2 linked regions of the Xenopus tropicalis genome follow. The protein of the gene in region 1 interacts with the protein of each later gene in a biochemical or structural test. Links are inferred from orthologs where the notes say so. Each region holds a gene or a part of one and is shown in the gene's direction. Other genes may lie near its edges.

Region 1 (4,086 bases):
AATATAATGTACTGTTGCCCTGCATTGCTACAACTGGTGTGTTTGCCTCAGAAAGACTACTATAGTTTATATAAGTAATCTGCTGTGTAGCCATGGGGGCAGCCATTCAAAGGAGAAAAGGCACAGGTTACTTAGCAGATAACAGATAAACCCACATTATATGGGGCTTATCTACTAGTTATCTGCTATGTAACCTGTGCCTTTTCTCCTTTTTTCCAGCTTGAATGGCTGCCCCCATGGCTACACAGCAGCTTATTTATATAGTAGCTTTTGTGTAGCAAAAAACACCAGTTTTTTGCAGAGCAACAGCACATTAAATTACTTTAAAACACTTACATTTTTTGATGTTACTACTGTGGCCATACACGTAGCAATTCCGATCTTTAAAGATCGTTCCCAGAAACAATAGAAATTCTACCTCCACCTGGCAATTCAGCCCTGAATGTAGATTTTGCTTGAACCTGGGCAATCGACCGATATCCGCAGCCTTCTGTGATATCGGCCGCCTCTTCGAGCCGCCATACACGCACCGAATAGCGTATGAAACGAGGTTTCGTATGATAATACTGGTGCGCGTATGGCCAGCTTTAGACCCAGTGGCAGAACTAAGAGTATTTGGGCACCGGTGCAACCCCACCATATCACCAGGGCCTTGGCCCCCATTCCTGCTTTCAGCCTAGTATTACTTTGGGATTTATGGGACGCTGGAATTTCTGGCCACATGGAAGCAGACCTTATCTGGTGGAACCTCACAGTGGAGATGAACCTTCACCCCTTTATTTATGTCACTATTGTGGGGGCGGGGAGGTTTATACAAATTCAGGGGAGGGGGGAGAATAGGATATTTCCATCAGGGGTGGCAACCAAACTATAATCTGTGTGTAGTGACACATATCAGTGTGTGGTGACACATATCAGTGTGTGGTGACACATATTATCTGTGTGGATTTATCAGTCACCTGTTACCTATTCATGCCTGTATCTATCTGACAACTATGTAACAGTCTCTGTATCTATCCCTCTGTGCCTCCATAACCCATTCATGAGCAGCCCCCGCACATGGACGGACCCTCATTCCCGCGCTTCCCCGTTTTCCCTCAGAGATCTCCTGCACACGCTTTGCGCGCCCCCGATGGCTCCTCCCATAAACTGACCATCCCCCCACCTCTCCCGTTCCCTTCCCCCACTCTAGCCCGCTGGCCGCAGGATGGTGCCTGGAGAAGATGGCGGACACCGAGGAGCTGCGGGTGAGGAGAGCAAGGGGGGGGGGGCAGGTGGCTGTCAGTGTGAGAGGAGGCAGAGGGAAGGGGATAAACAGGGACTGTAGCTGGCACAGACTAAATGAGTGCTGCCATTATGCATCATGTGTGTCCCCTCCCTGGGCACTGAGCCTTGGCATGGGCTTGGCACACTGTCTCCCAGCCTCTAGCATATAGACATGCACTGAGGCATGCTGGGTAATAGAGCCAAGAGGAGAGCCAAGGGTGGGAATGGCACAGTTACACTGTGACAGTGAGGCATGCTGGGTAATATAGCCAAGAGGAGAGCCAAGGGTGGGAATGGCGCAGTTACACTATGACAGTGAGGCATGCTGGGTAATATAGCCAAGAGAAAGCCAAGGGTGGGAATGGCACAGTTACACTGTGACAGTGAGGCATGCTGGGTAATATAGCCAAGAGAAAGCCAAGGGTGGGAATGGCACAGTTACACTGTGACAGTGAGGCATGCTGGGTAATATAGCCAAGAGGAGAGCCAAGGGTGGGAATGGCGCAGTTACACTGTGACAGTGAGGCATGCTGGGTAATATAGCCAAGAGGAGAGCCAAGGGTGGGAATGGCGCAGTTACACTGTGACAGTGAGGCATGCTGGGTAATATAGCCAAGAGGAGAGCCAAGGGTGGGAATGGCACAGTTACACTGTGACAGTGAGGCATGCTGGGTAATAGAGCCAAGAGGAGAGCCAAGGGTGGGAATGGCACAGTTACACTGTGACAGTGAGGCATGCTGGGTAATAGAGCCAAGAGGAGAGCCAAGGGTGGGAATGGCACAGTTACACTGTGACAGTGAGGCATGCTGGGTAATATAGCCAAGAGGAGAGCCAAGGGTGGGAATGGCGCAGTTACACTATGACAGTGAGGCATGCTGGGTAATATAGCCAAGAGAAAGCCAAGGGTGGGAATGGCACAGTTACACTGTGACAGTGAGGCATGCTGGGTAATATAGCCAAGAGAAAGCCAAGGGTGGGAATGGCACAGTTACACTGTGACAGTGAGGCATGCTGGGTAATATAGCCAAGAGGAGAGCCAAGGGTGGGAATGGCGCAGTTACACTGTGACAGTGAGGCATGCTGGGTAATATAGCCAAGAGGAGAGCCAAGGGTGGGAATGGCGCAGTTACACTGTGACAGTGAGGCATGCTGGGTAATATAGCCAAGAGGAGAGCCAAGGGTGGGAATGGCACAGTTACACTGTGACAGTGAGGCATGCTGGGTAATATAGCCAAGAGGAGAGCCAAGGGTGGGAATGGCACAGTTACACTGTGACAGTGAGGCATGCTGGGTAATAGAGCCAAGAGGAGAGCCAAGGGTGGGAATGGCACAGTTACACTGTGACAGTGAGGCATGCTGGGTAATATAGCCAAGAGGAGAGCCAAGGGTGGGAATGGCACAGTTACACTGTGACAGTGAGGCATGCTGGGTAATAGAGCCAAGAGGAGAGCCAAGGGTGGGAATGGCACAGTTACACTGTGACAGTGAGGCATGCTGGGTAATATAGCCAAGAGAAAGCCAAGGGTGGGAATGGCACAGTTACACTGTGACAGTGAGGCATGCTGGGTAATATAGCCAAGAGAAAGCCAAGGGTGGGAATGGCACAGTTACACTGTGACAGTGAGGCATGCTGGGTAATATAGCCAAGAGAAAGCCAAGGGTGGGAATGGCGCAGTTACACTGTGACAGTGAGGCATGCTGGGTAATATAGCCAAGAGAAAGCCAAGGGTGGGAATGGCACAGTTACACTGTGACAGTGAGGCATGCTGGGTAATATAGCCAAGAGGAGAGCCAAGGGTGGGAATGGCACAGTTACACTGTGACAGTGAGGCATGCTGGGTAATATAGCCAAGAGAAAGCCAAGGGTGGGAATGGCGCAGTTACACTGTGACAGTGAGGCATGCTGGGTAATATAGCCAAGAGAAAGCCAAGGGTGGGAATGGCACAGTTACACTGTGACAGTGAGGCATGCTGGGTAATATAGCCAAGAGGAGAGCCAAGGGTGGGAATGGCGCAGTTACACTGTGACAGTGAGGCATGCTGGGTAATAGAGCCAAGAGGAGAGCCAAGGGTGGGAATGGCACAGTTACACTGTGACAGTGAGGCATGCTGGGTAATATAGCCAAGAGGAGAGCCAAGGGTGGGAATGGCACAGTTACACTGTGACAGTGAGGCATGCTGGGTAATAGAGCCAAGAGGAGAGCCAAGGGTGGGAATGGCACAGTTACACTGTGACAGTGAGGCATGCTGGGTAATATAGCCAAGAGGAGAGCCAAGGGTGGGAATGGCACAGTTACACTGTGACAGTGAGGCATGCTGGGTAATAGAGCCAAGAGGAGAGCCAAGGGTGGGAATGGCACAGTTACACTGTGACAGTGAGGCATGCTGGGTAATATAGCCAAGAGAAAGCCAAGGGTGGGAATGGCACAGTTACACTGTGACAGTGAGGCATGCTGGGTAATATAGCCAAGAGGAGAGCCAAGGGTGGGAATGGCACAGTTACACTGTGACAGTGAGGCATGCTGGGTAATATAGCCAAGAGGAGAGCCAAGGGTGGGAATGGCGCAGTTACACTATGACAGTGAGGCATGCTGGGTAATATAGCCAAGAGGAGAGCCAAGGGTGGGAATGGCACAGTTACACTGTGACAGTGAGGCATGCTGGGTAATATAGCTATGAGGAGAGCCAAGGGTGGGAATGGCACAGTTACACTGTGACAGTGAGGCATGCTGGGTAATAGAGCCAAGAGGAGAGCCAAGGGTGGGAATGGCACAGTTACACTGTGACAGTGAGGCATGCTGGGTAATAGAGCCAAGAGGA
Region 2 (4,276 bases), on another chromosome or scaffold:
CCCATAGGGCTCAATGGCACTCTGCAGCTCCAACCTGGCCCAAGGAAAGTCTCCCATTGGGCTCAATGGCACTCTGCAGCTCCAACCCGGCCCAAGGAAAGTCTCCCATAGGGCTCAATGGCACTCTGCAGCTCCAACCTGGCCCAAGGAAAGTCTCCCATAGGGCTCAATGGCACTCTGCAGCTCCAACCCGGCCCAAGGGAAGTCTCCCATAGGGCTCAATGGCACTCTGCAGCTCCAACCTGGCCCAAGGAAAGCCTCCCATAGGGCTCAATGGCACTCTGCAGCTCCAACCTGGCCCAAGGAAAGTCACGATACTGAAGCTGATGAATCCGAAACATTCATACTTGTTGCGACAAATACGATTTTGTTGTGCAAATTGTCAAAGTATGAAAAAGTTGTGCATATTAATAAAAAAGTCGCAAAAAAACGCACAGTAAGAAAACTTAGAAAAAATATGAATTATTTGTATTCGGAAACAATTGTACTTTGATAAATGTGCCCCATAGTGTTGATGGGGCCACTTTATCTACCTGTATGTTCTTATTATTAGAGGAAAGTGGAGTATCTGGAGAAAACCCACTGAGAGAAGTTACAAACTGAGCAAGATGACTGGAATCAAACCTAGGACTAGGGTTTTCACATTTACTGGATTTAAAATACTTCCCATACTTTTATCTTTGAGCCCTACTGATAACATTGGAATCAAGCATAATTTTCATGAGTCAGCTGTCAACCCTACATAGGTTTCCAGCGGCATTTGGATCACTAATACACTAAACTTGCAATGTTGCATTACCATGTGAAAATGTGCACCCTGAACGCTTGGCTACTGTCTTTATTGACATGAAAGTTGCACCAAGTGGTGCATGCAGTCATCTCTTTGCTATAATGACCCAATGATAACACTTCTGGCACTGCATGCAATTGTGAGAGGAAATGCTGCTCCACACAGTCCCGCAGTTCCAGTCACAGAGCTTCATTCTGTCCATGTTCTGGGAGAGTCACGTGTTTCACACCCAGGAGCCTGGGCTGAAGGTTACACGTTATACAGCGCACAAGCGCTTATTTATTGAAGGGGTGGGAAACTAATTGCAATACTATGTCCCCTTTCTCTGCATCTTCCTTCTTGTTACATTGCGCTCAGCTTCCCTCCCTTCCCCCACACTAGTGTCTGAGCGCGCTCCCGTCACCAACTCACCGCGTTAATGGAATAGTTGGAACTGGGCGGGGTTGCGCGTAGGGGGATGGGAACCATGGTCGCGCGCATCGTGAACGCGCATTAAGGTCACGTGACCCCCCTTTCGCCTATCGCACCGCGTTATAATGTTGGGGGTGAAGCGCGCCCCCGCGAATAAGCGTTAGAGAGGAAAAAACCTTCACAGACAGAAAAAGAGCGGGAGAGCTAGAAAAGGGCAATCATGTCTGAAGAGAAACCCAAGGTAAGCGAGATAGCGGCTTTTCCCTATCGGGGCTAGGGCGGAACGAGCAAGGAAAGGGTCAGTCGGGCCCTACGCGCAGAGGCCGGGCTGTGGGCACGGACATCAGGCAGAGACATTGGAGCCGGGCTGGTGTAAGCGTGCTGGCCTCTCCGGGGATGCCTGCTGCCTGGGCTCACTTAATAACGCCTCTCAAGAGTACGATTGCTTCTTGTTTTAGAAATACAGTACGTGGGCCTGTCGCTTTGGCTTGTGGTACCGACCCAAAGGGCAGGCCCGGTGCGTTATACCGTCATGTTGGTGTGACTGACACGGTGCTCCGTCCGGCGCTGAGCTGCCGCCATGTTGGGCCGAGCTGCGAGTTGGTTGCAAATCCCATGGCCCAGGGGACACACGTGTTACAGTGCGGCTCCATTTCCTCATGTCTCCCCGTGTGTCTCTGTACTGCCCACAGACATTAGCGTTCCCATTATTCCCCTTGGCACCAACCTCACCATATTGTGTGTCCCATTGCTCGGGGGGAGGGAACCTGACAATTGTGTTTCTGCAACTTCCGAAGCCTTGCATTGGGCTGCTAGTGACATACCCTACACAAGTCATATGGGGAAAGCACCAGGATACACCTATACCGATGGAAATACTACCTAATAATACCTTAATAGCATTGTGCGTGCTGCCAGCTAGGTTCATTTGATAAAAACCGCCTTAAAGGAGACCTCATGCGAAATAGAATGTAGCAGCACATTATACTCCTCCCCCAAACCCACTAGCCCCGCCCATCTGTTCCACTTCCTACTGCCTCCTTTCCCAGGCTGTGCAGGGGGGCCTGTAGCACACAGCACTGTAGGGTAGGAACCAATCAGCAGCTAGACTGACCTGATAGGGAACTGAAGCCTGTTGCTTGTGTGAGTGCAGGACTGTGATTGGCTCTCCCCTCTCCTGCTGTGCTTCTGGCGGGGTCCTTTAGGACACTCCCACCCCTCATTTGAAACACAGACAAGGACCTTGGAGGATTTATAGGGAGCACCATTTTTTACAGACAGTATTATGTTTTAGCTCAAAGTAAATCCAGCCCCATATATAATTCATAATTGCCTACAAGATTAGAAGTGTTTTCCTTTATCCAATATGTCTCCTTTAAAATATTCAGTTTGGTATTGCCTTAAAGGAGACATATCCTATAAAAATTAAGAATGTACCAGTGAATTATACTCCTCTAGATATAGAAGGATTGTGCTTAAAAAGTTGTGTTTCAGACTGATTTATTGAGAAATTCCACAAAACCCCACTAGCCCCGCCCATCTGTTCCACTTCCTGCTGGCTGAATTCTCTGGATGAGCTGGGGAGCCGGCGGCCCTCAGTACCCTGCACTGTAGGATAGGAACCAATCAGCAGCTAGGCTGACCTGATAGGGAATTGAAGCCTGTCTTTGCTTGTGTGAGTGCAGGGCTGTGATTGGCTATCCCCCTCCTACTGTGCTTCTGGCAGGGACCGTTAGGACACGCCCACTCTTCATTTCACACACCGACAGAGAAGCAATGGGATCTATAGGGAGCTCCAATAAAGGGGCCATTGTTACAGATAGGATTCATATTTAGCACAAAGGGAAACCAGCACTGTATATTATTCATAATTGCCTACAGGGTTAGGGTTTTCCCATTTATCTAATGTCTCCTTTAACTGTAATCCAGAGTCTCATCTAGAGCTCTTACTTTACATTTTATATCATGTTATTGGAAGCCAGCAGTATTCACACTAGCGACCGACTGGTGGTCCTGACCACTTTGCAGATCGCCACAGTACAATATGGGGTCAAGTAATATGGGCAGACCTGGCAGCTACTAACTGTTCTACTCAGCTCTGTGCTTTTGGAGCTGGTACAGGGAATACAAGTAAGGTGCTGTTGGGGGGGCAGATATCACGGGCAGATAAAATTTTCCATTCCAGACTTGAGAGCTGAAACATTTAAGTGACCCAGAGGCTTAATGGCTGAAGTCAGGCTGTTTTTGTCTCTATGGGTAGTCTATTAAGTCTTTGTAGGAGCAGTGCTGGCGTTGTCACTGTATATACTGCAGTACAAAATGTTCATCTTGGAGTGGTCATGATCAGATACTTACATAGACCTTGATAGATATCCCTGTCTCCTTCCCTGCCCTGCCTGTGTGTGTACGTGCCATATAGCTGTGCTATCCATTTCTTTCACATATGGGTTATGGGTGATATTGCTTCAGTAAACAGTGTGTTTGCCTGCGGTGCCAGTAGGTTTCATTTAGGCCCAGTTGGGTTGGGCACTTGATGGGGGGTACTTTCATTTGTTGTGGGTGAATTAACGCAAACCAGGCAAACTAAAATAGCTTAAGCATGTTCTGCCTCTAATTTTATGTAGTAATTAATATGTATTAGGCAGAGCTGGGAAGGACTTGTAGACCATGTGATTGCTTGTAAGGGCCAGTAATTGTATTGTGGAGCATAGCAGAAGCCACTGTAGGGAATGGCACAGTGGCATGGCAAGGATAAGTGTTTAGAACATGCATGAGCCCAGCAGCTGCTTTTTATTATGGAATAAAGTGGTGACAGTCTCTGGAGGGGATGGCAGTAGTCAATATATGCCCTGATATTTTTTGTTTATGTATATCAGAGGGCTATTAGTTGCTCTGCAAGCATGTGCGGAACCTTGTGTAACACTTTGGGGCACATTCATCAAAGTCCGAATACAAAAAATTAGTATTTTTTTTAAGTTTTAGAACTGTGCGTATTTTTTGCGATTTTTCGTTAATTTACGCAACATTTTTGTACAACTTGCGCGACAAAATCGTATTTGTCCCAACGAGTACAAA

The links.
Region 2: the proteins of pias2 (region 1) and sumo3 form a complex in vitro, tested with the Homo sapiens proteins (2 studies listed by BioGRID, with this or other methods). The link is inferred for Xenopus tropicalis from reciprocal best matches to the Homo sapiens genes PIAS2 and SUMO3.

The regions. Positions count from the first base shown.
Region 1 is NC_030677.2:206,564,571-206,568,656, forward strand, and holds the start of pias2 (E3 SUMO-protein ligase PIAS2), read left to right. Parts: upstream 1-1,139; 5' UTR 1,140-1,223; coding exon 1,224-1,247; intron 1,248-4,086. UniProt on the Homo sapiens protein: Functions as an E3-type small ubiquitin-like modifier (SUMO) ligase, stabilizing the interaction between UBE2I and the substrate, and as a SUMO-tethering factor.
Region 2 is NC_030685.2:55,089,578-55,093,853, forward strand, and holds the start of sumo3 (small ubiquitin-related modifier 3), read left to right. Parts: upstream 1-1,399; 5' UTR 1,400-1,421; coding exon 1,422-1,442; intron 1,443-4,276. UniProt on the Homo sapiens protein: Ubiquitin-like protein which can be covalently attached to target lysines either as a monomer or as a lysine-linked polymer. Does not seem to be involved in protein degradation and may function as an antagonist of ubiquitin in the degradation process.